Linked DNA regions of Arabidopsis thaliana. The protein of the gene in region 4 purifies or fractionates together with the protein of the main gene of each other region. This does not show direct contact. Each region holds a gene or a part of one and is shown on either strand. Other genes may lie near its edges.

Region 1 (6,367 bases), on a different chromosome or scaffold from region 4:
AGAAAGCTTTTCGAAGACGTAACACAAACCTTGCAAACTATTGTCCTACATGCATGTGGAAATAAAAATAAAAAGGTAAGTGTCCCCAAAGCAATTACCTTTTTCATGTACTTAAAGAATAATTTGCTCAACATATTGGACCACCAAAAGAGCTAAATATATAATAGATGAACCTCGAATCACGAAATATGAAATATCTATTTGTATTCCCATTTTCCAACTTAATAATGCAAAATGTTATCAAGCAAAGTTCAAATAAAATAATGCAAGGTGTTAGTTGAAATATTTGGATTTTGGAATAATTTCTTTTGGTGGGTTAGGAGCACCTGACTCGTTTCACAATTATTGAGAATCTATTAGCAAAAGTAAAAAGTCCCCAAATTATTTTGCTTATTTCCACTAAGGATATATAACGATTTCATGAACATTTTTCAAATTTAAAAACGAAGCACCCTCAGTATAATAAATCTCATTATGATTTCAAGAACAATTTGCATTAAAATATATAAATGCATGCCGTATTTTAGAAACGAAAAAAAAAAAGGCAGGTCGTGATATTTCATTTCGTTTTTGGGTCAAACATGGCACAATTGGTTAGAATCCTGTATTTTTTGAGTAGCAACAACATAAATAAACTGGACCGAATCTCACAACAAAGAGCTACAAAATTTCCTGAACAAACTCAACAACTTTGCTCACCAAAGATGGCTGCAAAAATGAGCTCTTCTTCTGTATAATAAACCTTACAAAAAACTTTTTGTGTAAGGTCTCATTCCACAACGGCCGTTCTTTTCTCCATTAGGGACTCAAAGAACTCAGCACATAATTTCTGAAGTGGCGGGAAATTTAGTGTGGAGCCGCTGAATATTGTTTCCCACGGTCTTTCTGATGATACAAACGGTGTTCCCAACGACTCAACATCCTCCATTCTCTTCTTGTCATAATCAGGTAACTGCCCGTATAAGGATGTGTACCCGGCGTCTCCTAAAAGGTTGAGACTTTTTCGATTAGTAACATGGTATAATCAACAAAGGTTCTTTCAAATATGTTTTAAGTTTTAACTACCTGTCTCTTCCAGACCAGCAAGACCATCGTAGTCAACAGCGCTACGCTCATGTGACTCATCACTATTGGGATCAAAGACAACATATTCATGGCTTCCATTTACATATGCAAGGCGAAGCTGAGACTTATCTCCTTCTAAAAATGAGATTGATCCTCCCCTAGCCTGCAATTTAGACATTGTTTAACTCGTTGGATTCTTTCCTGTCTCTCCAAGGTTAAATACTAACGGGCTATTTCTTATGTCATACCTTCATCACAGTCCATATAGATACCGGCTTGGGATCTGATCCGTTAAACAAAAGAATGGCACCATCTCTACCACGGAAGATGTTCTCCTTAGATTCATCTGTTTTAAAAGTTTTTGGGATCACAGCCAAGACTGCAAATGCTGACGAATCCACTGCAGAGGTGACAGCTATAGAACGAGAACAAGCATTTTCTAAGTAAACCACAGCAAGAGTTTTCATGGGGAAATCAAAGAAGCATTATAATACTGACCTTCTATGCGTAACCCATATGACCATGATAAAGATAACTTTGATGTATTCCAAACAGATAGTTCAGGTCTTGGAATATGGGATGCAGCAACAAGGAACTCAGACTTTCCAGCGAAACAGAGCTTCGTGATAGGCTGTAATAATATATAGAGAGGTTTAAACATTGGTCTTTATGGAAAAAGGTTCCAGCTTTTTTAGGGATAACTTCATAGGTTTTACCGTGAGTGTCGATCCTAGAACAGACAAGAGAATGTTCTTATCTGGATTCCACAGTGTAATAACATTCTCAGCCGCAACAGCCATAACAGTGCCATCCCCAGAGAAAGCAGCAGCAGTCATTGGTTTCTTCCTGGAAAATATTCAAAGGCAAGAGAATATAAATTTGATCGCCAAGGCGAATAATTTGTGAATGTTGAAATTTCCTAGCGCGTAGAGAAGCTATTACTTATAAGAGCCAACAGCGTGACATATCCAGCTAGAGTCTTTATCCGTCTGGTTCTTGTCACTGTTGCATACCCAAATCTGAAACAGCAAAAGTGATATCAGTAAGACAATAATAACAAACAAAAAACACAGAGAGAAAAATGTAAAATCAGTTTAAGAACTACCTTGAAGTCACCACCGAATGATGTACTCACTGCCATGGAGCGGGTAGGGTGGAACACAATGGCTGAGACACCGGCATCCCTGTAAGATATACAGGAAAATAAAATTTACTCTCTGCAAAGGATATAACAGTTTGTAGACTAAATAAGAGAAATTGAAATCTATGTTTGCAAGGTTTACAAGAAATAAAACATGACAAGAAAATTGGGTAATGGTGAAAAATAAAGCTTTATCCATTAGCAGAGGGTGAAATATTAACCTATGAGGTTCATATACGATTGTGGATAAGGTGAAAGTTTTGCTGTCTGGTTCAGACGCCCAAAACTTGAGGGACACTAAGCCTCCTATTCCATCTTCCGGAAGTTTCACCTCGGTTGTACTCATCACTGAGCCATCCAGGGAGAGAGCAACCGCTGTCACCACAACCTATTACCGTTTACTCAAATTATCACCCAAACGAAAATAATCTTAGATATACTATCAAATAAACAGCAAGGAAATGTACTTACTGTGATCTCATCTCCTGGTTGATGGTTTCTCTCACAAACTTGAATCTGCAAAAGCATTGATTAAAGAAGTTAGAGATTTCATAGACAGGAGAAAGTGGCATAGAGTTTCTTAAGGATATATTGGAGCCAAATTCTAACCTCTGAAATTCCCCGGTCATTGAGAAGATTATATAGCTGTACACAATAATTCTCTGTGCACAAAGCAGCTATGCCAGAAGATCGATCAAAGGCAACAGTACTAGCCAAGCCTTCATACATCCTAGGCAATGATGGGGGAGGCTGTAACAAAATAACACACATTGAAGTAAACACCAAGAAAAAGGTAAAGCGGTTGCGAGAGTTTCTAGAATCCTAGAATCGTTGACAAAACTGACGAGAATGATTACAGGTCCTTAATTATTAAGTTTCCAAGACGAACCTTGATTCCAGAAATGGTCCTTAAGATCTCCATGGAAGGCATTTTAAGCAAATGGATCTGATTATCTGCACAAACCACCTGCAGCTCTCATTCGTAGTCAAATCAGTAAAACATTCCCTTTTGCTTTCAGCAGTTGTGTGTTAGATTAGAATGAAAGAGTAAGCTCCGACTTACAGAAGAAAGAGTTGGATCTGGAGACCACATGAAATACAGCAAGGGGGATCCTATCCTTGGTAAGAATTTCTTTTTCCCTGTGTCTAGCTGCCAAACGACAAGTACCCCTTCCCTTCCCCCTAAAGAGTCAGAAAACAGACGCAATATGGAGTAAGAAGTCAGGACATTACTTTCAAACAGTAAATTTGCTCATGACCTATTAGTCTATGTCGGTTCATAAATCCAATGGATATCAGAATATAACTCGGCCGCACCTGAATACAAATATGCTCCATCGGAAGAGAAATTAAGGACATTAACTTCAGCAGAATGCCAGTGCCATGTAGTGCAAGATTCAGCATCATCTTCACCTCTCACTCCAGCATTGTCCAAATCAACCATGGCTCTCACTTTTTTCTTTTGATTACCCAAGGCAAGTTTTCTATTACCAAATCCTCTCCAAATCAACACTCTTCCAGTTACATCTCCAGCAGCTATAACTCTCTCCGTGGGATGAAAAGCAAAAGCATTGATAACCTTTGTGTGATGTAATGTCATCTTCCTTGAAACCGCATGCCTTGATCCTCCAGAAGGAACATCCCATATATGAATTTTACACTTGTGACGGATTCCGAAAAATTCTCCCGAGGGACTAATAACAATAGATTCTGGTTCTGCCGTCTACACAAAGAAATAAGCAAATAACTTGAGCTTACACAATTCAACTTCAAGACAACATTAAAGACAAACCTCTTTCAAATAAGTCCATTAAAAAAACTAACCTCTTTTAAAGTATCTCCACGAGGAATACGCGACTTAGCGAGGTTAAATCTTCGGATATGTCCACGCAACTCTTTAGACCCTTGGTTAACCACACTTATATCCTCAACGGAAACATAAGCAACCAACTTACCAGACAACTCACGACGTTTATCAATTTGTTGAGGTTCGCTCAAAAGAGATGGTATAACCTAAAACACACAAAACACATAGATTCATTTCATCAAACAAAACACTCACAAAACCTAATCAAAGTATCAAACTTTTTTTATACTCACCATAGAGTAAATCGGAAGCTGAGCATCAATAGTTTTCAATAGCTCAGGTCCAGAGAAATCCCAATGACGAATAGTACCATCAAGAGAAGCAGTCCAACAATAACAAAGGATTTTTTGAGCAGGACTTGATGCAGGAACAACAATTAGAGTTGTTACTGGAGCTGTATGACCTTCAAGCGAAGTAATCTAAAACAGAAATGTATCAATCAATGATTCGAATAGAAACCCTAACAAAATCGAAGAAGAATTAAATTTTTGGTACCTGTAAGCCAGTGGCGGCGCTGAAAACAGAGACAGTGTTTCCTGTGCAGACGAGAAGCTTTTTAGCGTCGTTGGAGAATGATGGAGGTGAAGTTACGTAGCTTCTTCCGCCGCGTTTCATGGTTAATTTCCGGCGATAGAGAGAGGCGGTGAAATTGGGAAGAGAAGAAGAAAAGGGAGACGCACAAAATTGGTTTACTTCAAAAGCCCTAACTTAAACCCTTCTTCGTCTCTTTTGTTTTTTTTTCTGCTCAATTACATTTCAGTTTTTATCTATTTATTTAATCGGAAAATATTAAACAATAATGTTTTTGGGCCTTTGTAATGGGCCTTGTTAGGTTTGATGAAGATAATTATTGAAGTTTTGAGAGGTATCTAGCAAAAGTTTTCATGTATGACAACAATCAAAAGAAAAACACTGAGCAAACTTTTTTGAATTGAGACAATATATAGATTATAACGATACAATTAAAAAGTAAATAATGTGATTAAACTTACAACAAACCAAATGACCAATGACATCTCTCCATTTTGCTTTGGAGATTTCACCATTGTTAGATGAAACTAGAAAGAGCTACTACATAGGTTTTGAAATATACCAAAAGAAATCTCTAAGATTAAATATCATCTGAAGAGAACTTTCCTCAAGACTCAAGCTTTTTTGAACTCTCTCAGAAAAACAGATTTTAGAATTGGCCAAAGGGGAAATGAGTTTATACATGGTTGCTTATACACTCTGTACTTTCCCCGGCATCTCCTTTGCTTTCACGGTCTTCATATCCTGCGTTCGATTCAAAAGATATGTGTTAACTACAAGATTTACTTGAGGAACATAAGCAAATCAATGACTAAAGAGAGTAGTAACTCTAAAACCAATCAATGACATTTTTGACTACCAAATACCAATGAACAATTTTTACAACTGATATTGAGTGAATATCAAGCTTCAAATATGTTGTATCAATTTCATTGGTTGTATATTGTTATGTTCATTAGCCTAGAAGCAAAGAGCAAAAAAACACTTAAACTAGCTTTACTTCTAAGCTTACGCAAAATGTACATGAAACAAAAAGCTGATGAATCAATCGGACTAAAGGAATCGATTATCGATAGAAACTAGTACAAAGAACGATACAGGACCCGCAAGAACAAGAAACTAAACATATAGAGACTCAAAGGAAACATATAGAGACTCAAAAAAAAACTTACTGATTCTTTGCTTTCGTAGTACTCATCCAAAGCCCACTGATACTTAGATTGGTTTAACCCAAACCACCTCACCAAATGATCATCCACACTTGAATGTGCTGTAGTCAAATGGATTAGAACACACACACACAACATGAATGTCAAATTCACAATCTAATTGCTTTTAGGACCAAATCACATAAACAGTATGAAAAGCTAGAATTCATGTAACATTAGTACTTTCCAATCACTTCACAAAGATAGAAACTTTACAACGATTTATATCATTTTTGAGTTCAATTTCCTAATCAATCAATCAAAGGGTATCGGAAAAATCAATCTCAAATTCAAGATCTAAAAATGAGGAAACTTTGAGCTGAAAATCAGTTAATTGTTTATCAGATTTCTCACCATTTTGAACCTTTGTGACGGCGTTTTTAAAGAACCCCAAAACTGAGCCGTCCTGGTCAGAAGAAGCCACCGATTTAAACTGCTGCGGCGGAGGAAGAACCGGTGGTGCCATCACAGGCTTCTGAGACACAGCGGAGGGAGATTCAGGTGGTTTAGGAGTCGCAGGAGGAGTCATAAAGACAGTGTAAGGACCGATTTTTC
Region 2 (5,877 bases), on a different chromosome or scaffold from region 4:
TCCAACAACGTCATCAACAACATGCTTGCGATGAAGCGAGCGCAAGATGTCTTACTACGAGCCAACGGCTTTGACCCCGAGACCCTCCTACCGATGATGTCTCCTCCTGCAGCCTCCATGAATCCTCCTGCTTGACCACATACGACTTAGGATACTTGCAACCCACTCAACCTTGCGGACTACGATCTTTAAAACACAAATTGCTTTCGATTTATGTTTTTCAATTTGTTAAATTATGTTTCAGTCACAATTTTAAATATAATTTATCGTCCACTACTCTGTTTTAGCTTCTTCTTTTTCCATACGTTACAATTGACCTTACTTTTTTACGTATTAAAGAGAGAATTGGTTTATACACCTCAAATCAGCAGGTTCTACATGATGAATGAAGCCCTTTTAATATCAAAACAACCCTTTTAGTAGCTGAAGGAATCAGATTGTATCTCTAACAAAAAGGCTACCAACAAAATGATGTTATCCAAGTTGGGTTCCAAAATATGGGGTCTCTCAAGAGCTATGTCTTTCAGGTTGTCTATCTGCTCTCTCACACACCTCTTTCTGCATCCGGGAACTGAAGAACGAAGCGCACAAGTCGGGGAAAGGCGGGAAATTGAGTGTTGATCCACAAAACATTGTTTCCCAAGGTTTCTCTGACATCAATGCTTTCTTCCTAGATCTCTTCTTCTTTTTGCTTATTGCTGCAAGAAAAACTTCATAATCTATGGCGCTAGTCTCGAGTTTTTCATCGCTATAAGGATCAAATAGAACATATTCATGGCTCCTGTTTACATACGCGAGAAGCGGCTGAGACTTTTTACCATCTTCCACAAATGAAAGTGTTCCTCCTCTGGCCTGCAATAAACATTGTAATCAAGTCTCTTAACGGCAATGAGAGAACTTTGATTAATCCTTCCTTAGAGTATATACCTTCATTACAGTCCAAATAGCTACTGGTTTAGGGCCTGACCCATCAAACAAGAGGATAGCACCATCTTTCCCGCGGAATATCTGTTCGTTAGATTTTACCAACCTATCAGATTCTGGAAGCCATGTTAAAACTGCAAAGTATGGTGAGTCCACTTCAGTAGCAATGGCTGCAAATAAACAGGAAAAATGAAATATACTTAGACAACCAAAAAAATCAAGATTTCATGATCAAAAAGATAAATAATAAACCTTCTATGTATAATCTATATGACCATGATAAGCAGAACGTCATCAGATCCCAGACAGATAAGTGCGGTGTGGAACCATGGGATGCAGCAATAAGGAAGCCTCCTCCAGTGAATGAGAGTTCCATAATTGGCTGAAACATTTACATATCATTTAAGATTTCAACAATGACTGTAACTAATGAACATGGAATTGCTTTTGTGTGTTATACAAGTCTTACCGCATTTGCCTTTCCAACTACATACAGGAGTTCGTTCTTTAACGGGTGCCAGATCGTAATAACTGTTTTAGCCGCAAGAGCCAGACAAGAACCATCCCCGGAAAAAACAGCAGCTGTTATTGGCGTTCTCCTGAAAAATATTACATCAATTTCATTTGACATCACAACGACTAAGTAATGAGAGATGTTAAAAGGTTCCTAATCTTTTACTTATAAGAGCCAACTCCATGACAAATCCAGTTTGAGTCCTCAGGTGTCAGATTCTTGTCGCTACTGCAAACCCAAATCTTGACAGACATAAAGTCATATCAGTAACACAAAAGGTCAAACGATATTCCAAGGAAATGATCCATTTTTCACTACTCTGTAATCCTACCTTGAAGTCCCCAGCAGAAGATATACTAACAGCCATGGAACGGGCGGGGTTAAGGGCAATGGCTGTAATTGCAGCTTCCCTGTGAGAATACAGAAGGATCAAAAGTTACACTCACGATGAGAATCAAGGAGTTTAAAAGTTTATAAGAACATTGAAGTAAAAACCTGTGAGGTTGATTTATGACTGTCGATAAGCTGAAAGTTTTGCTGTCCGGTACAAATACCCAAAACTTGAGAGAAACTATGCCTTCACTGAAATTGCTTGCAGCAAATCTGGCCTCAGCTGTAGTCATTACTGAGCCATTCCGAGAGAGAGCAACCGCAGTCACGAGAACCTATTTTCCATAATTCTTCAAATTATTACAAAACAGAAAGAGAGCGGATCTTTTACTAGTAACAACTATGTCATCTTACAGAGAAGAAACAAAATGTACTAACCCGGACTTGATCATCATCGTCTGGATGATGATCGCAAATTTGAACCTGCATATGTTAGGTTTGTTAAATAGTAAAATCATACAACTATCAGATACAAAACTCAATAAGCCTTTTGGGAAGCTAACCTCTGAAATGTCATGGTCACTTAAAAGGTTGTAGAGTTGAACACGATGATTCGCTGTGCAGAAAGCAGCTATACCGGAAGAACGATCAATGGATACAGTTCTGGTGAGGCATATATCCCGCGTTTTGACGTAGCATATAAACCCGTGACGCTCTGGTGTCGGAGGCTATTACATAGTAAAGAACACAATATGCATGTGAAGTTAACTCCAACAGAAACGGTATACAATATGAGCATGCTTAAACCAACAATAACAAGGAAAAATTTCGGATGATAGTAAGAACGAACCTTGATTCCAGATATCGTTCTCAATATCTCCATGGAAGGCATTTTAAGAAGATGAATTTGATTATCTGCACAAATCACCTGAAAATTCTTGATCTTAGTAGAGTTAATGAAACACTTCATTTGCTTTCTACGGTTGTTGTAAACGGAAAAACTCTTACAGAAGAAAGAGTTGAATCTGAAGAGAAGATGAAATACAACAAGGGAGATCCAATCTTTGGCAAAAGTTGCTTCTTCCCTGTACCTAGCTCCCAAACAACAAAATCACCTGCCTTTACCCCTAAAAGAGTCACAAGCAAAGGAAATATAGCATAAGAACTCAATATATATATATATAAGAAACATGAATTCCTTATCAACACACAGAGATACAGTCACTATGATGAAAAAATAACTCAGACTCACCAGAATACAAAAGTGCTCCATCTGAAGAGAAATTAAGGACGGTTACTTCAGCGCTGTGCCAGTTGAAAGTAGTGCAAGATTCAGTATCATCTTCAGTTTTCACTGAAGTAAATTCTCCAATACCATTATCCTTCCAAATTAACACTCTTCCTGTTACATCACCGGCTGCTAATATTCTCTGATTGGGATGGAAAGCAAAAACAGTAATCAACTCTGTATGATGTAATGTCGTCTCCTTTGGCATGAGGTGCTCTGATGCCACATTCCATATATGTATACTGCAGTTATGACAGACGCCGAAAAACTCTCCAGAGGGACTTAAAACAATAGGTTTTGGTTCTTCCATCTGCACATTAACAAAAATGATTATAGAATCAAACATGAGGCTAATCGAAAAATGGTTAATCCACAAATCTGACCTCTTTCAAAGTGTCTCCACTATGAAGAGGGTCTTGAGTGAGATCATATCTCCGGATTTGTCCAAACAAATCTTTGGACACACTTGAATAGTCCTCAACCGAAACATAAGCAATCACGGAATGTGACACTTGAGCTGGAATCATCACCTACAAAGTCCCAACAGACACTTAGAAAAGGGCAATTGAAAGTTATCAAATTTTTGTTTATAAGCTGCAAAGTATGGAACTTTAACAGACCAGAGAGTGAATTGGAAGGTGGGTATCAAATATCTTCAAAAGCTTCGGCGCAGAGAACTCCCAAATCCGAATTTTCCCATCGAGCGACGAAGTCCAACAGTAACTGACGGTTTCGTCGGAAGACGGATCAACAATCACAGACGTCACAGGCGCTGTATGATCCTCGAGTGAAGTAATCTTAAAAACACACACACGCATACGCTAATGAGAGAAGAAGATTAGAGGGAAACCCTAAAAGGAAGGATGCTCGAGTCGAGAGATAAAACCTTTAAGCCAGTGGCGACGCTGTAAACAGAGACGGTGTTGGCTGTGCATAAAAGAAGCTTCTTTGCGTCTTTCGAAAACGCCGGAGCGGAAGTAATGTTGTTTCTTCCGCCGCGAATCATTTTCCTTCAACTCACGGAGATTCTGAGAAGACGCAAACATCTTACTCGGCGATTAAAAATTAGATTTTGCGACGTTTTTCCGACGAAATATTACAATGTACCCAGTTTTCGAGGAAATTATGTCTGTGACCAAATTGCGACTAGTACTTAGTACTATATGCTTGTACTTGTAGTTTCACTTTCTTCGTAACACCTGGCTCTGTGATGACTCCTCTCATTCTCTTCCTCCATGTTTGGGTTTCGCTTCTTGGACTAGGCCTTGACCTTGTTGGGCCTCGGCCTGTTTGTTTATTTTTTCTGTTTTATCTTTAATAAAATGAGACGGCAAGAAAATAACTTACATAATTTTTCAAGATCTTAAGTATTTTGTATTTTCTTAATTTATGTGAAAAACCCTGTGGATAAACAAAATATAATGTATAGTCCAATAATTGGAAATTTTGTAGTTAACAAACTCACTTCGTTTTAACAAAATATGGATGGATGATTCAGAGGCATAGTATGCGACATTAACTGTATTACAATGGTCGACAATGACTTTGATTTTTGAGGTCGTCCAATAAATACTAAAATGTATGGGTATGATTTTAGGTTGACCAATAAACTTCGATATCCATCGTTAATTCCATGAATGTTTTAAAAAACTGAAGTTGCTTCTATTATATATAAGTTAATCTATTTTATAATTTTATTTTATGACAGTTTAGCTATAATTTCTTTTCAAAAACATTTATGTTCTTAATTTATCAATCTATCACTTTCCTCGTCAACATATTACTTTTTTTATAAATCTTTTGCATATGACTAGCTTATCGGAAAATCGTTCATATAGATAGCGACATAACTAAAATAAAATTAGAAAGATGATATTGTTTTGATATAGTGTTTGTTTGTCTTGTTTCAAAAGACTATGCAATCAACTAGTTGTGCGTCTTGTGGATCTAACAGTTTTAAAAATGTTTAGGGTCAATAGTTTAATCAGACTTGGAACGGTAGTTTATACCTTTAGATACAATATTATCTAAGGTTAATTTATGTCATGGAAAAGTTATATATAGACAAAATGTTCAAAAAATTTAGGATTTATTGTGAAAAAACGAGAAATGGTAGATGATTCATATACATATCAACTTATTCCAAAGTAAAAAGTTTAAGAAATAAGAAAAATAAAAATTGTAGCGTAACAAACATTGACATATGGCTCGTTGGAAACAAACTAAATGTAATAATTATAGTTGTTCATCAAACTATTCGCATACAACCATCATGAACGATGACTAAAAATGGGAGACAAAGTGGGACTTTTGTAAATCCTACGTTTAATGAATTAGAATGTTGAATTATTTTTTCAGATTTTTATACATATGAATTGTTGCTTTCAGTGTTCTCTTAACCAATGAAAGTAAAGATGCTCAAAGGCTAAATATAAAGAAGATAAATTTCATTTCTCTTGATTATTCTCTTTAGGGTTTAAGATTACATCATGTTTCCTTTCATAGGCATTATAATCTTAGTGACACTAGGGTTTTCACTGACACATGTCAGGTCTCTATTGATCCTAGACAGTCAAAACAGTTTTGTAAAACCACTCCTTCTTTTCCAGCACAGCTCCTTGTTTTTGTCCTTTGATCCAATCTTGATGTACTTTTGGTTTTGTCTTCTTTTGCAGGAGATGACCGTTGGAGCTGAGAGTTGTTTAGGGTCTGCGCTTGGGCCTGTTGTTTATTGGGCTTGAGGTTTGCTGCATTCTCAATTTGGCCCAATCTCAGAACCTTCTTGATAATGTCATCTGAAGAATTTACCTTTACAGATTCC
Region 3 (7,536 bases), on a different chromosome or scaffold from region 4:
GGCATAGTCACTTGCATTGAAGCAGAACTCTTAACACAAACAACTGAAAGTAGTAATCCTCCACAAGAAATTGCAAAACATAAAATTCAAAGCTTGTGTAACTCAGGAATGAACAATAATCACTTGATGATATATTGCAAGGGGTTTGTTTCTGTAAAATTGACCCAAGATGAAATTTTTATTTCCTTTATCATAAACCCATTTCACACGCTTTTATTTCACTATATGAGTGAGAATATTTTCAGAAATCGAAATCCAAATTGTAAGAAAAAATTTCGTGTAATGCTCATAATCTCGATCGTTTTGTGTGTATATGTATATTGTATATACGGAGCAGAGAAAGAGACCTTGAGGTAGGCGCGAGAATCAAGTAAAAGCGACGGTGTCCGACGAAACTCACCATTCGATCACCGTCGCCGTCATCACTGTTCCGCCATTGCAAAGACCTTTACGTTAACCGGAAATTAGTGGAGCTCGGAATTAAACCAGACTGGTTTAATCAGTCTTAAACCACAAACATATCATTTATTCACGAATGGCCCTTTAATTTTAAGAAATGTACAATTTTGACCCTTGGTAACGAAAATTTATATTTTGACCCTTTCGAGCCACATTTGACATTTCCACGAAGTGATTTAGTAAAACATTAAATGGAAGAAAAAAAAAGGTTACAACAGGCAAAATTGGATTTAAATTAACCATCTTTAAAAGTTACATCCTCAGAACAAAGCATGGCCATGTTGTCCTTCCTCTAATTTCTTCTGCTTCTTCTTTCTCTTTTTCTCCATCTTTGTATCTCCTCGTGATGCCATACGTTTTGCTTGCTGTGACCTTATCTCCAATAGCTTGGCCTTTGCATCTTTGAAGGGAGCATCAGATCTTGCATCCATCATTTGCTGCAAAACACCACAGCTTCACTTTAAATACCCACAAAGATGAGATAAAATGCTAAAAATGAACATAATCCAAAGTGCGAAATGTTTTTACCTTGACATGATCCATGGCGGCCAAATTGAAACCGATTGTATCTTTGCATGCCTGATAAGTTCCAGATTCATATCAAAACCAATTCAGAAATAAAAAGATATACAACTCAACAACATTTTCCTCTTTGCTAACCTTGATTTCTGAGTAAAGAATGTCCCTGAGAACGCTTAAGATTGGTCTGGCAGATGGTGTTGTTACCAACTGGTTGTGATGTGTCTGTAATATAATGGTTGCGATTCTGCTAACCAACTCTACCTGCAGGATTTGGTAACAAACATTAGAGATATTCTAAGACGAGAAGGATGGATCTATAATCTGTTGTAAAAATATAACAGGTTGATGACCCAGATCGAGTACATTCTACTTTACAACACGAAGCTATATCTATAAGCCCTTCAGAGCTAAAATCTAGAATCTACGACACAAAAGGAGTATATAATTTACCTTTTCGGGAATTAAACTCCAGTCTTTCATGTAGCAAAGAAACTTCAAAGAATCTGAGAATGGTAGAGCCTACATAAAACCCAAAAGAGGAAAGGGTATTGATTAACATAACCATGGATCTAGTACGAGTTGGGTGCAACCAAGTAACTAGTAAAACGATGGTTTGATGGAAGAAAGGCAACCTACCAGCAAAGTCTGCTCAAGATCATTTGTTCTCACATTTGAGATGGCCCTGAGAACATATTCGGACGGAGAAAGCCCGAACATCACAGCGTTGGGTAGGTATTCAGGAACTTTTCCCTTTGTTTTCTCCTCCTGAAGATTGGAAGAAAGAAAAATCACGATGCAAAGAACAAGTAGGAAACAAAGTAGCAACCGTAGATATTGGCATAACCATTTTGTGTTAAATTCAACTCCAAATTAGCCAAAAACGAAGTACCAACTAGGGGGATGTCATGTCGATATGTATAGATAAACAAACAAAGTAACGATTCCCACCTCATAAGCAGCATGACGCTTTGTTTCATCTTCTGCTACTTCCAGAGCATCTATAATTGAATCAGCAGCTGATAGAACATCTATCGTCTTCTTGCCAGCTAATGCTGCAACACCTTCCTCTGGAATTTCCTCCATGGGTCCATGCCTGTCATCTGCTGCATTATCAATCTCAGACTCAAAAAGCTCTTCTAACCTCTTTTCCTTCTCTTCCTGCATTATTTCCAGTAAAATTACATTAATTGACCTAAAGTCACATAAAATAACTCGTCAAAATATACTTGAGATTTATGTAGACATGACAGTATGACACCAAATCTACATTCACAACCACATACACATAGAAGAGTTATTATATTTGAATGCTTGAACTTGCATGACTTCCGTATTTGATTTCATCATGTAAACTGAAATAAGTAACTTCCAACAGTGGGGAATTACCTCGAGGAAGAAAGGTTCTTCAGAGCGATCCCAGCGACGCATGGAGCGGTCATGAGATCCTGTTACGAGAAAATCACCACGGTTACTGATAGCAAGGCACCAAATCTCTGCATGATGTCCTTCAAGCGTTAACAAATGCTCGAATTTGTCAGCATCCCAATACTTGACGAGGCGGTCTTTCCCAATGCTGAACAGATAATGGGTATTCCGAACAAATTTTACACCCATGACACTGTAAAACAAAGTCGCGTGTCAGTTAAGCTCCACAATCTTTTAATGATTCCAAGGAGTCTTTAACACAAAATATAATATTTGCGGTAATAATCAACATTTTACTAGCCAAGTAAATCTGTTGGGAAGATACTGGAAAAGGAAAGGGGTTTTCTGCTTATATATCATGTCATGCAATTAGTCATACTGTTTTCTTACACAAAATTATAATATTCAAGGAAAAACTGGGTCCACATTATTGAGTACGTTATGCCATTTTCAGAAATATGGTACGAATTATGGAAGTACCTGTCACCATGAGCAAAGATAGACTTATGACAATCACCAAAATCCAAACCCCAAATTTTCAAATTTTTGTCCTGAGAACCAGTAACAATCAACTCTCCATCTGATGAGATGTCAATGCACATCACAGGCAACTTGTGGCCATATAAGGAGAGGTAGAATTTTAGGGAATCCATGTAGAAAACCTGAAACCAATATAAGGTACATAAGTTAGTGTTACATACGTCAATGTAAATGATAATACGATAGATACGATTATAAGAATGTGGTTAGCGTATCATTTATATGACGTACTGAAAATTATTATTTTCTCATTTACATATGCCATAAACAGAAAATCTACCTTCACTGTGGAATCAAGCAGTGCAACTGCTATGTGTTTAGCATCCGGGCTGATAGCAACAGCAAGTACATCGTCATTCATCTTCATGGACTTAACATTTGAAACAGTGAGTTTCTTGGTCGCCTGCAGGTTATCAAACACAATATGTTTTGATCGAATCATTTTAGCACACTGTAATATACTACTCAAATAACACTAATAAACAATGTGCTCATCAACAACTTTCTTAAGAGTGAGCAATTCCAGAAAACAAAGGCACGGAAAACAGGAGATGGAAAAAAAGAGAGTAGAGAGGCAATCTATGATACAAAAACGTTTACTTATCTAATAGAGAAAATAAAAGAAACTTAAGGTCAGGAATCTCACCTTGCCAGATTTCTGTTTGACTTGGTATTCCCAGAATTTGACTTCATGATCTGCACTGACTGTGACAAACCCGCTATCGTTTGGAATAGGTGTAATTGACCAAATAGTGCCACCATGAGCCTTCACTTCTTCCACTTTGGTAGCGCTCCCTATATCAATGATTTCAAGTACCCCACTCTTGGTTCCAACAATACCATACTTGTTTTGGGGAACAATCAAACTGCATAATCCATATCCTGAATCAATGGTCCGGAGGCAGGAACCTGTACTGGGATTCCAAATTTTTACTTCACTGTGACTGGTTGACATCAAAAGGGTGTTGTCTTCACTGAGGGTAACACTCCTCACATCAGAGCGATGTCCTTGGTGTTCAATGGTAACAGTTTTCGCGTTTTCGCTGCTTTTAAGGGAATAGAATTCCAGTGAGTTATTGTTCAAAGAGAGAGCTAATGTTCCTAAGGATTCTTTTGGAGCTGTCGGACAGAAAGAGAAAGAGCTGATTTTTCTCCCAGCTCTAATGACTTGTAAGAGCTTGAAAACATCAAGGACAGTAGGACTAGAAACAGCATCAGCTAGTTCAATTTTAGCACTTGCTTCGCCATTAGCGGTTGAATTTTCATCCCCCACTTTGGAACTCTTCTTCTCTTTTCTGCGAAGCCTACGCTTTGCTTTCTGCTTAGCCTCAGCTTCATCCAAAACCCGGAATATTTCAATAGTTTTACCTGCCATTTGACAAGCCAGAAGTTTTCCCGAAACATTGAATCTAACTCTCGCAACTCTATCCTTAGTTTGTCTCTGAATTTCCCCAAACAGCTTTAGAATTTCCCACTTGTTCTCTGTCGAATGTTCTTCACTGGCCTTGATTTCATTTGCATTTGAGTCAGATACCAATGATCCGTTAGACGAATATTCCTTGACAGCATAAAATCTAAGTTCTTGATCAGCCGACCCAGTAACAACATATCTCTCCTCTGGATCAGTATCAACAGACCACACTTCACTATGATGACCACTAACTATTTGCATACAGTGTTGGGTCTCAAGATCCCAGACTCTCAAGAACTTGTCCTTAGATGAACTTACAAGTTTCTTACCACCATCCAAGAATACAAGATCTGTGACCTACATTAGACACATGAACATTGCTCTTGTCAAAAACCACTATAAAAACCCACACACCATAGCAGAATCATCAAACACTAAATACTAGAAATATCAAGCTAGACATTAAATAACCTGATCTCGGTGCCCACGGAGACGAAAAAGACCTGATTCGCCAACAACATCCCACAAGATAATATCATTATCTTTACTTCCAGATGCAAGCATCGATCCAACCTTATTGTACCGCAAAGCAGTCACCGCCCCCTTATGGCTATTAAAATTAACCTCACAAGTTCCTTTCTCAGTATCCCATATTCTTATGCTCCCATCTGCATACCCAACTGCCACCTGGTTTATCACACAGAATCAAACAACAGCAAACTCCTTCAGATACTCAATAGTACAAAGCACCATGAATATTATTAATTCTAGCTTAAAATTCAAATACGACATTTCTAGCTCTATTTAGCTACCAAATAGATTACAAAGTGAACAACTTTCAAGTCATTAAGCAAATCAAAATAAAAAACGAACAAAAGTAAGTACCAAGCTAGAAGCAGAGGAGGCTATAGAGGTAACGGCGAGAGATGGTCCACCGCGAGAGGAGGAAGGAGTTAGGGTTTTGGAGCAGACACCTTGCCGGACGTGCCATATTCCGACCTTCTCCAACGCCGGAGCAAGCACATACTTCCCCGTCGAATCGTAAGCTATGTTCGAATCTACAGATGAAATCACACCGAAAGAGGTCGCTGCATCGTATCTTTGGTAAGCCTTCACCATTCTCCAAAAGCTTTGGTTTTGATTTTCTCTTCTTCTTCTTCTTCTAGCTTTTGATGGCGGGATTTAGGGTTTTAGAGTGGTTAAGGCAGCAGGGTTCTAACATCCAATGTTACTTTTGATAAATTGCGATATAGTCTTAAACCTTTTGTCTATTCAATATTTAACCCCTAACTTTATTTCAATAGATTTGAAGCCCTTACTCTTCGGACCCAAACTTTTGTTTTCTCAATTTGCAACTATGTTGTGTAATCATTGGTACTAAGAACGAAACAGAACAAACAAAAAGAAAAATGGCTCACGACATCCATGACCAATATTAGTAATTTTTTATCATTTTCTTAAAAATCAATGTATAATAATTGAATGATTATCATCTAAAGAAAATCAAGAACGTACACTTTTTATCTTATTCATACTCTAGGCTTACCTTTTTAACATCCACATTAATTTTTTTTATTTTTTTTGTTAAAGGGCCCATCCACATTAATTTTTCCTAGCTAATTTCTTTCAAAATAAAAGGATATATAGAAATATTTGTGTGTATATACATTAGTTCATATAAGTGTCTCTTAAGTTTCAACTCCTTAACATCTAGTGATTTCAATAATGCTGATTCACTCACTATGAGCATAAAAAGAGATATGTTATTACTTTTGAGTTTATCAACAAACATATGGAAAAAATACCAAAAAACAAACACACAACATATGATCAGCATTCAAATACATAAATAAAAATAACAAAAAAAAAGATCACAATTATAAAACTTTCGTATTTACCATTCCACGAATAAACACATGCCATTACATTTTAATGTTTTATGCATATAAATAGTATAAAATCATATACTATCATTTCATCTCGGAAGCATCATCCTCACTGTGGTCCGAGGGATTCCCAATTCCGTGACGTCTACTAGGGAACACCGTGAAAACAGCACCGGAGATAACTCCGATCACCGGAGGCAAAACCATGAGAAAGATCTTCCCAGCGGAGCCAAAGCCAGGATAGAAACAATTCACGGTGTTTGCATCCAACAAGGAAATAACACTGAACACGATAAGAGAGAAGAAAGCGTGAACGAAATCTCCAACTCTAAGCCTTTTCGAAGACAAATCCACTGAAGATGAATCTGGCCAAAGACCCTTCACGGTGGCAACTCCATAATGAACGTAACCGTCTCTTGTTCGGTAACTATCGGTGAAGCAAGTGAAGCAACAAGAGAAGGCACAAATAACGATGAGAACTCCGGTTAAGTATTTGTTGATGAGGAGGCAATGTCCATTGTTGGTTAGGACAGGGTTTAAAAATTGGAACAAGAAGACGGTTCCGGTCGGGAGGAGCTTGATGAGGTCTCCTACGCCTGAATATGTCCGGTCTCTTATGGCTTTGAATGTTTTCGACATTTTTTTGTTCTTCTTTTGTAAATTATATTTTTAGTTGTCGTTTATAGTGTTCTTGAATGTGAATTCATAAAAGTGTTGTTTGTCGAGTGTTTATAGGATGAGAGAGAGACATTGCTTCTACGTAAAAACGGGTTTGGTGTTGCTTATACTCTTTAGAAAAAGTTGGGGGAAAATTTAATTATAACTTTTTTATTTGTTTAGGTTACCCTTTTTAGTATTTTAGGCTTGTACTAGAAAACGTGGCTTGGAGGATTAGATTCGTTATGTTTCTCTTTGTATTAGATACATAGAAGTGTGAAGTCATTTTTAATGCTCCATTCCATTTGTTGTCACACATATCGTCATACGGTCGTTGAAAGATCTGGTAGTCCAAAACGTATCGAGTGTGAAACAATATGTTTGGCAAGTAGACCGGAACATGTATAAATTTATTTATATATTTGAATCTTGTTAAAAACATTTTTGTGTATTTAGAGACTACACATAGGAAACTACTGATTTATACATATGGTTTACTCGACTTAATAGTTTGTTAAAACCGGTTAAGTTTATGAACGTTTTGTAGAACCTGTGAATACTCTGTTTTTAAATAAAAATAAATAACATAACATTTCTAAAGTAGTATGATAGTATCACAGCCGTTTCATTTGTGTG
Region 4 (5,911 bases):
CCACTTGTAAGTAGTAGACTCATAATTCAATGTTCCGGTGAAAGAAAAATCAAGATTTAATTTAGAATAATCATAAGCTCTTGCTTTTAAAAACCAGGCTCAGACAGATCCATCAGTGATAATTGAGCTTCAAGATCTGAAAGAAGCAGTAATGAAGAGCAATGATGAAGAAAGAGAGGGAGACGAGGAGAGTGGTTTTGATCCAGAGAAGCACCTTGACGCTTACTTGCCTGTTCGAGTCAACGAGCAGAGAGTTAGCAACTTGTTGCAGTCACTGCTTGTGGCAGGTGCAGTGTTGGCTATGCCGGCCATTAAGCTCATACCGACTTCCATTCTATGGGGATACTTTGCTTACATGGCCATCGACAGCCTCCCGGGAAATCAATTCTTCGAACGCTTAACGCTTCTCTTCGTTCCAACAAGCCGGAGATTCAAGTATATGTTCTGAAAATGATCTGTTTTTTTTTTCTTCAAGTTATTATTATTCAGATTTCTCTTCAAAGACTGATCATGCATTGTTGTTTTCAGGGTCTTGGAGGGAGCACACGCGTCGTTCGTGGAGAAAGTTCCTTACAAGTCAATGGCTGCGTTCACACTGTTGCAGATATTCTACTTTGGGCTGTGCTATGGGGTGACGTGGATTCCGGTGGCTGGAATCATGTTTCCGGTTCCTTTCTTCCTCTTAATAGCTATCAGACAGTACATTCTCCCGAAGCTCTTTAACCCGGCCCATCTCCGAGAACTCGATGCCGCTGAGTACGAGGAAATCCCCGGTACTCCGAGAAACCCGCTGGAACTGTCTTTCCGGGTTAGTCCATATCTTAGCAATATCTACATTTTTGAGGATCCCGGACTTTGGACTAAACCATGGAGGTTTTCTTGTCATCTAAGGCATCTACAGTGACCTAAAATATTTGAATTTGTTGAATTTAATGCCAAAATAAACTTGTTTTACAGTCGAATGACTCGAAGAGAGGCGTCCAAGAAGGCGATGCTGAGATTTTAGACGAGTTAACGACAAGCAGAGGCGAGCTTAAAGTCCGTACATTGAATCTTAACGAAGACAAAGGCAACCAGGTTTTGTTTTGTTATGCATCCTTGATATGAATCTTAACTTTGTGAAAAGAATTATAGACTCAAGATCGCTGTTAAAAACCTGCAGATTTATCCCAAGGAGAAAGTAAAAGCAGGAGACGGGGACATGAGCACGACAAGGGAGTGAGTGAATCAACAAAAAGAATCAGAGATTATTCTTTCAAGTGATGATCATGATCATGATCATACGCAAAACTATATAGTATTGTAGAACACAGATTGTATGTGGCTTTCTTTTTTTTTTTGGTTCTTAAACCTAAGATGATGTGTGTGTTTGTCAATATAGTCTTCTTAGCAATGAAAATCGATAAAGAATTAACACAGCGAGAATGTTACGGATATGTAACGTAACCTTCCAAGAAAAGGTACTAAATTTCAAAAAAGTCAATGTGTTCCTCATAATTTCAATCTATGAGTCAATAATCACTTTACCATAGACTAAAATTCATTTTGTTAACTTTTTGTGTAGAAGAAAAGCAAAGGATAGCTTCTCTTCTATGGTAAAGATGCGAATCTGTAGTTTGTTTGATGTTCTCTGCAAAATTCGCATGTATAAAATTAATTAAACGTTTAGAAATATAATAGATGAACTTTATAGTACAAAGGATCCGTGGCGCAATGGTAGCGCGTCTGACTCCAGATCAGAAGGTTGCGTGTTCGATTCACGTCGGGTTCAAATATCCCGAATCTTGATCCTTAATTTTTTTTTCCTCTTGGGCTTACTACGACTACATAAGGAGGAAGCCCATATATGCCCAACAACTAAAATCCAGTTCATAACAGAAACCCTCGTTAAACCTAACGCCGTAATTATCGCCTCCGGCATATCAATCCTCCGCCTTCTCATTCTTCTCCAGACGCCATGGAGTTCCGTTTCGAGAATCTTCTTGGCGCTCCTTACAGAGGCGGGAACGCAGTCATCACTAAGAATACTCAGCTAATTTCACCGGTTGGTAATCGTGTCTCCGTCACCGACCTAAGTAAGAACCATTCGGTCACTCTTCCGCTCGAAACCTCTACCAACATATGTCGCCTCGCTTCCTCACCCGACGGTACTTTCCTACTCGCCGTCGATGAACAAAACCGATGCCTTTTCATCAACTTGCCTCGGCGGGTAGTTCTTCACAGAATTACCTTCAAGGATAAAGTCGGTGCCTTGAAGTTCAGCCCTAATGGTAAGTTTATCGCTGTTGGAATTGGTAAGTTGGTGGAAATATGGCGATCACCTGGTTTCAGGCGAGCTGTTTTGCCCTTTGAGCGGGTTAGGACTTTTGCTAATTCTGATGATAAAGTTGTCTCCTTGGAGTGGAGCTTGGACTCTGATTATTTGCTTGTTGGCTCAAGGGATTTAGCTGCTAGGTTGTTTTGTGTTAGAAAGTTGAAGGGTGTTTTAAATAAGCCATTTTTGTTTCTGGGTCATAGAGATTCTGTTGTGGGTTGCTTCTTTGGTGTTGATAAAATGACTAACAAGGTCAACAGGGCTTTCACGATTGCAAGGGATGGTTACATTTTTAGTTGGGGCTATACTGAAAAGGATGTCAAAATGGATGAATCAGAAGATGGCCACTCTGAGCCACCGTCACCTGTTACTCCAGATAGGGCTGATGAGGTGATGGTGGAAAATGGTGGTGGTGTTGGTACTGAGCTTAAGAAACGAAAAGAGTATGACGGTAAAGGTCTTGAATCAGATGAAGAAGGAGATGATGATGATGAAGAGTATATGCACAGAGGAAAATGGGTTTTGTTGAGGAAGGATGGGTGTAATCAGGCATCAGCAAAGGTGACCGCTTGCGACTATCATCAGGGACTTGACATGGTTGTGGTGGGGTTCTCAAATGGTGTTTTTGGGCTTTATCAGATGCCAGATTTCATCTGTATCCATCTGCTCTCTATTTCTAGGCAGAAGCTAACAACAGCTGTCTTCAATGAGCGTGGTAATTGGCTGACCTTTGGTTGCGCGAAACTTGGGCAACTGTTAGTCTGGGATTGGCGAACCGAAACCTATATACTGAAGCAACAAGGACACTATTTTGACGTCAACTGTGTCACTTACTCACCGGATTCGCAGCTCTTGGCAACTGGTGCTGATGATAACAAAGTCAAGGTAATGAAATTTCATAGACTTAACTGTTATGTTCTATACCATGCTTCTCATCTATTTCTGAATTTAACCAGCCCGTTTTTTATTATGTTACATTTTTAAGGTGTGGAACGTTATGTCAGGAACATGTTTCATTACATTCACCGAGCATACCAATGCCGTGACTGCTCTTCATTTTATGGCTGACAACCACTCCCTCTTAAGTGCATCTCTGGACGGCACTGTTCGTGCTTGGGATTTTAAAAGATACAAGAACTATAAGACATACACAACCCCTACACCCCGACAATTTGTTTCCTTAACAGCAGACCCGAGTGGTGACGTCGTCTGTGCTGGGACCCTAGATTCATTCGAGGTAATTCAACTTAGGCCCTGAAGGATTTCAGTCACCTACTCACAAATACTTTGGTGAGGTGAATCACTTTATGCTTGCCTATGTGCAGATTTTTGTATGGTCCAAGAAGACTGGGCAAATAAAGGATATTCTGAGTGGGCATGAGGCTCCTGTTCATGGGTTGATGTTTTCTCCCTTAACGGTAAAGAAACTGTCATAGTCTCATACTTCTTTTAGTCAAAATACAATTTGCTTCGTGCCTCTGAACAATTATGTGAACTTCTGCCTTATGGTGTTATAACTTCCATGCCTTATCTAGTTCATATATTTCTTTCTCTGCAGCAACTTTTAGCTTCATCCTCATGGGACTATACAGTTCGGTTGTGGGATGTGTTTGCTAGCAAAGGCACCGTGGAAACGTTTCGACACAACCACGATGTTCTAACAGTTGCTTTCCGTCCTGATGGGAAGCAATTAGCCTCGAGTACGCTAGATGGGCAGATCAATTTCTGGGACACCATTGAAGGTGTGTTAATGTACACCATAGAGGGGCGGAGAGATATCGCTGGAGGTCGGGTCATGACTGACCGTCGGTCTGCAGCTAATTCAAGTTCTGGAAAGTGTTTTACAACATTGTGCTATTCCGCTGATGGAGGGTATATTCTAGCCGCAGGAACTAGCAGATATATTTGCATGTATGATATCGCAGATCAGGTTAGCTAACTAGCTCCTCTTGGAGTTCAGGTTTTCTTAAAGCTTGTGTTCTTCTGATAAAGAAACTTAGTCAAAGTGTCTGGAATATCACCTTTTCAGGTTCTTCTGCGCCGGTTTCAGATATCCCATAATCTTTCGTTAGATGGGGTTCTGGACTTCTTGCACTCTAAGAAGATGACAGAAGCAGGACCAATTGATCTGATCGATGATGACAACAGCGATGAAGAAGGTGGCATTGATAAACAGTCGAGAGGGAATCTGGGTTACGATCTGCCTGGATCCAGGCCTAACCGTGGCAGGCCCATTATCCGGACAAAAAGCCTCAGCATTGCCCCAACTGGAAGGAGCTTTGCTGCTGCAACAACAGAAGGAGTCCTCATCTTTTCAATTGACGATACCTTCATCTTTGATCCGACCGATCTAGATATAGATGTTACTCCAGAGGTGAGCCTTTTGTAAATCGCTGATGGTGGTTATAGTTCTGATTATTGGTTTTGAAATGTAAAGCTAAGGTGTTGTTTGTGTAGGCTGTTGAGGCTGCCATAGAAGAGGATGAAGTTAGCAGAGCACTTGCTCTAAGTATGCGTTTGAACGAAGATAGCCTTATCAAAAAATGCATCTTCGCTGTAGCCCCTGCAGACATAAAAGCTGTTGCCATCTCTGTCCGCCAGAAATACTTAGAAAGGCTTATGGAAGCTTTGGTGGATCTGCTTGAGAACTGTCCTCATCTGGAGTTCATACTTCACTGGTGTCAGGTAATGTCTCGTTTTCTTCTCTTTTTTGATAAATCTCTGCTCAAATGCTCTCAACTTAATCAAACTTTGTGTTGTCTTTTTATGTGCAGGAAATCTGCAAGGCTCACGGAAGCTCCATTCAGCGGAACTACAGAACTCTATTGCCTGCACTGAGATCGTTGCAGAAGGCGATCACCAGAGCCCATCAGGATCTGGCAGATATGTGTTCTTCCAATGAGTACACGCTTCGCTACTTGTGTTCTGTTCCAAACAATCATTGATTATGTTTTCTGCATTATGTATCACCGGAAATTTTCATCTTCCTTTTTCGGTTAAACAAATTTTGAGATTTTGATATATGAGTTTCTAACATCTGAATACAAAATGGAGCAAAGAAATTAAACAGTTTGCAGGCAACCATAAAAAGTACGAAGAATGTGAATAATTTGATTTAAGCAGAGATTTTTGAATAGGCAAAAGATGATCCTAGCTATGAAGACTTCACTAACAGAAGCTAACATACAAACAATATTAAATTTATGCCTAGAACAAGAACTGATGTCGCTACAAGAACATTACATTATGATAAAAATCAAGAGACATCAAAACTTTTGGAAGAATTCCTCATAGACTCTGGCACTCAGAATCTTCATGGCGTCCATCTGGGATACATGGGGGCATGGAACTCCAGACGGGGTATGTGAGCCGGGTAATTGTCGGTGCTTGCACGGCTCTCCATGGACGCACCAAGAAACAGATTATGCACCAACGCATCAAAGTTGAGATCAATCATGGGATGACGATATGGAAGCTGATGGAGAGAAGTCGCCAACAATCTCTGTTCTGCATCCCATCTCTGACGAGCGTTGAGCATTTCAATGTACTCCGCCTCTCTCTCCAACTGCTCCCACATGTGTTGCTCCCAAGGGTCTA

What was found.
Region 1: the proteins of PWP2 (region 4) and AT2G18900 fractionate together in Arabidopsis thaliana (co-fractionation; one large-scale study listed by BioGRID). This does not show direct contact.
Region 2: the proteins of PWP2 (region 4) and AT3G26480 fractionate together in Arabidopsis thaliana (co-fractionation; one large-scale study listed by BioGRID). This does not show direct contact.
Region 3: the proteins of PWP2 (region 4) and AT3G21540 fractionate together in Arabidopsis thaliana (co-fractionation; one large-scale study listed by BioGRID). This does not show direct contact.

What each region holds. Positions count from the first base shown.
Region 1 is NC_003071.7:8,187,722-8,194,088, forward strand, and holds AT2G18900 (Transducin/WD40 repeat-like superfamily protein), read right to left. Parts: upstream 4,816-6,367; 5' UTR 4,689-4,815; coding exon 4,569-4,688; intron 4,493-4,568; coding exon 4,307-4,492; intron 4,220-4,306; coding exon 4,031-4,219; intron 3,930-4,030; coding exon 3,524-3,929; intron 3,389-3,523; coding exon 3,270-3,388; intron 3,174-3,269; coding exon 3,096-3,173; intron 2,957-3,095; coding exon 2,816-2,956; intron 2,723-2,815; coding exon 2,678-2,722; intron 2,595-2,677; coding exon 2,428-2,594; intron 2,250-2,427; coding exon 2,171-2,249; intron 2,085-2,170; coding exon 2,008-2,084; intron 1,912-2,007; coding exon 1,782-1,911; intron 1,697-1,781; coding exon 1,564-1,696; intron 1,481-1,563; coding exon 1,314-1,480; intron 1,229-1,313; coding exon 1,066-1,228; intron 985-1,065; coding exon 770-984; 3' UTR 516-769; downstream 1-515. Other genes in the region: AT2G18910 (hydroxyproline-rich glycoprotein family protein), read right to left, coding at 5,295-5,348, 5,777-5,874, 6,167-6,367.
Region 2 is NC_003074.8:9,686,766-9,692,642, forward strand, and holds AT3G26480 (Transducin family protein / WD-40 repeat family protein), read right to left. Parts: upstream 4,202-5,877; 5' UTR 4,063-4,201; coding exon 3,943-4,062; intron 3,854-3,942; coding exon 3,677-3,853; intron 3,587-3,676; coding exon 3,440-3,586; intron 3,367-3,439; coding exon 3,021-3,366; intron 2,896-3,020; coding exon 2,777-2,895; intron 2,697-2,776; coding exon 2,619-2,696; intron 2,497-2,618; coding exon 2,332-2,496; intron 2,252-2,331; coding exon 2,207-2,251; intron 2,104-2,206; coding exon 1,934-2,103; intron 1,849-1,933; coding exon 1,770-1,848; intron 1,681-1,769; coding exon 1,604-1,680; intron 1,524-1,603; coding exon 1,394-1,523; intron 1,307-1,393; coding exon 1,177-1,306; intron 1,095-1,176; coding exon 928-1,094; coding exon of another isoform or gene 904-927; intron 878-903; exon of another isoform or gene 853-877; coding exon 508-852; downstream 1-507. Other genes in the region: AT3G26470 (Powdery mildew resistance protein, RPW8 domain-containing protein), read left to right, coding at 1-135.
Region 3 is NC_003074.8:7,585,381-7,592,916, forward strand, and holds AT3G21540 (transducin family protein / WD-40 repeat family protein), read right to left. Parts: upstream 5,619-7,536; 5' UTR 5,477-5,618; coding exon 5,243-5,476; intron 5,045-5,242; coding exon 4,829-5,044; intron 4,715-4,828; coding exon 3,593-4,714; intron 3,350-3,592; coding exon 3,227-3,349; intron 3,069-3,226; coding exon 2,887-3,068; intron 2,600-2,886; coding exon 2,368-2,599; intron 2,140-2,367; coding exon 1,930-2,139; intron 1,747-1,929; coding exon 1,618-1,746; intron 1,501-1,617; coding exon 1,432-1,500; intron 1,243-1,431; coding exon 1,120-1,242; intron 1,039-1,119; coding exon 988-1,038; intron 897-987; coding exon 720-896; 3' UTR 506-719; downstream 1-505. Other genes in the region: DMP2 (transmembrane protein, putative (DUF679 domain membrane protein 2)), read right to left, coding at 6,328-6,882.
Region 4 is NC_003070.9:5,305,507-5,311,417, reverse strand, and holds PWP2 (periodic tryptophan protein 2), read left to right. Parts: upstream 1-1,859; 5' UTR 1,860-1,957; coding exon 1,958-3,199; intron 3,200-3,299; coding exon 3,300-3,551; intron 3,552-3,639; coding exon 3,640-3,732; intron 3,733-3,872; coding exon 3,873-4,244; intron 4,245-4,343; coding exon 4,344-4,688; intron 4,689-4,771; coding exon 4,772-4,999; intron 5,000-5,088; coding exon 5,089-5,259; 3' UTR 5,260-5,391; downstream 5,392-5,911. Other genes in the region: BOR4 (HCO3- transporter family), read left to right, coding at 1-6, 98-435, 529-808, 958-1,077, 1,163-1,222; AT1G15430 (hypothetical protein (DUF1644)), read right to left, coding at 5,628-5,911. UniProt on the Arabidopsis thaliana protein: Involved in nucleolar processing of pre-18S ribosomal RNA. Plays a role early in ribosome biogenesis, especially in the maturation of 5.8S rRNA. Required for guard cell functions.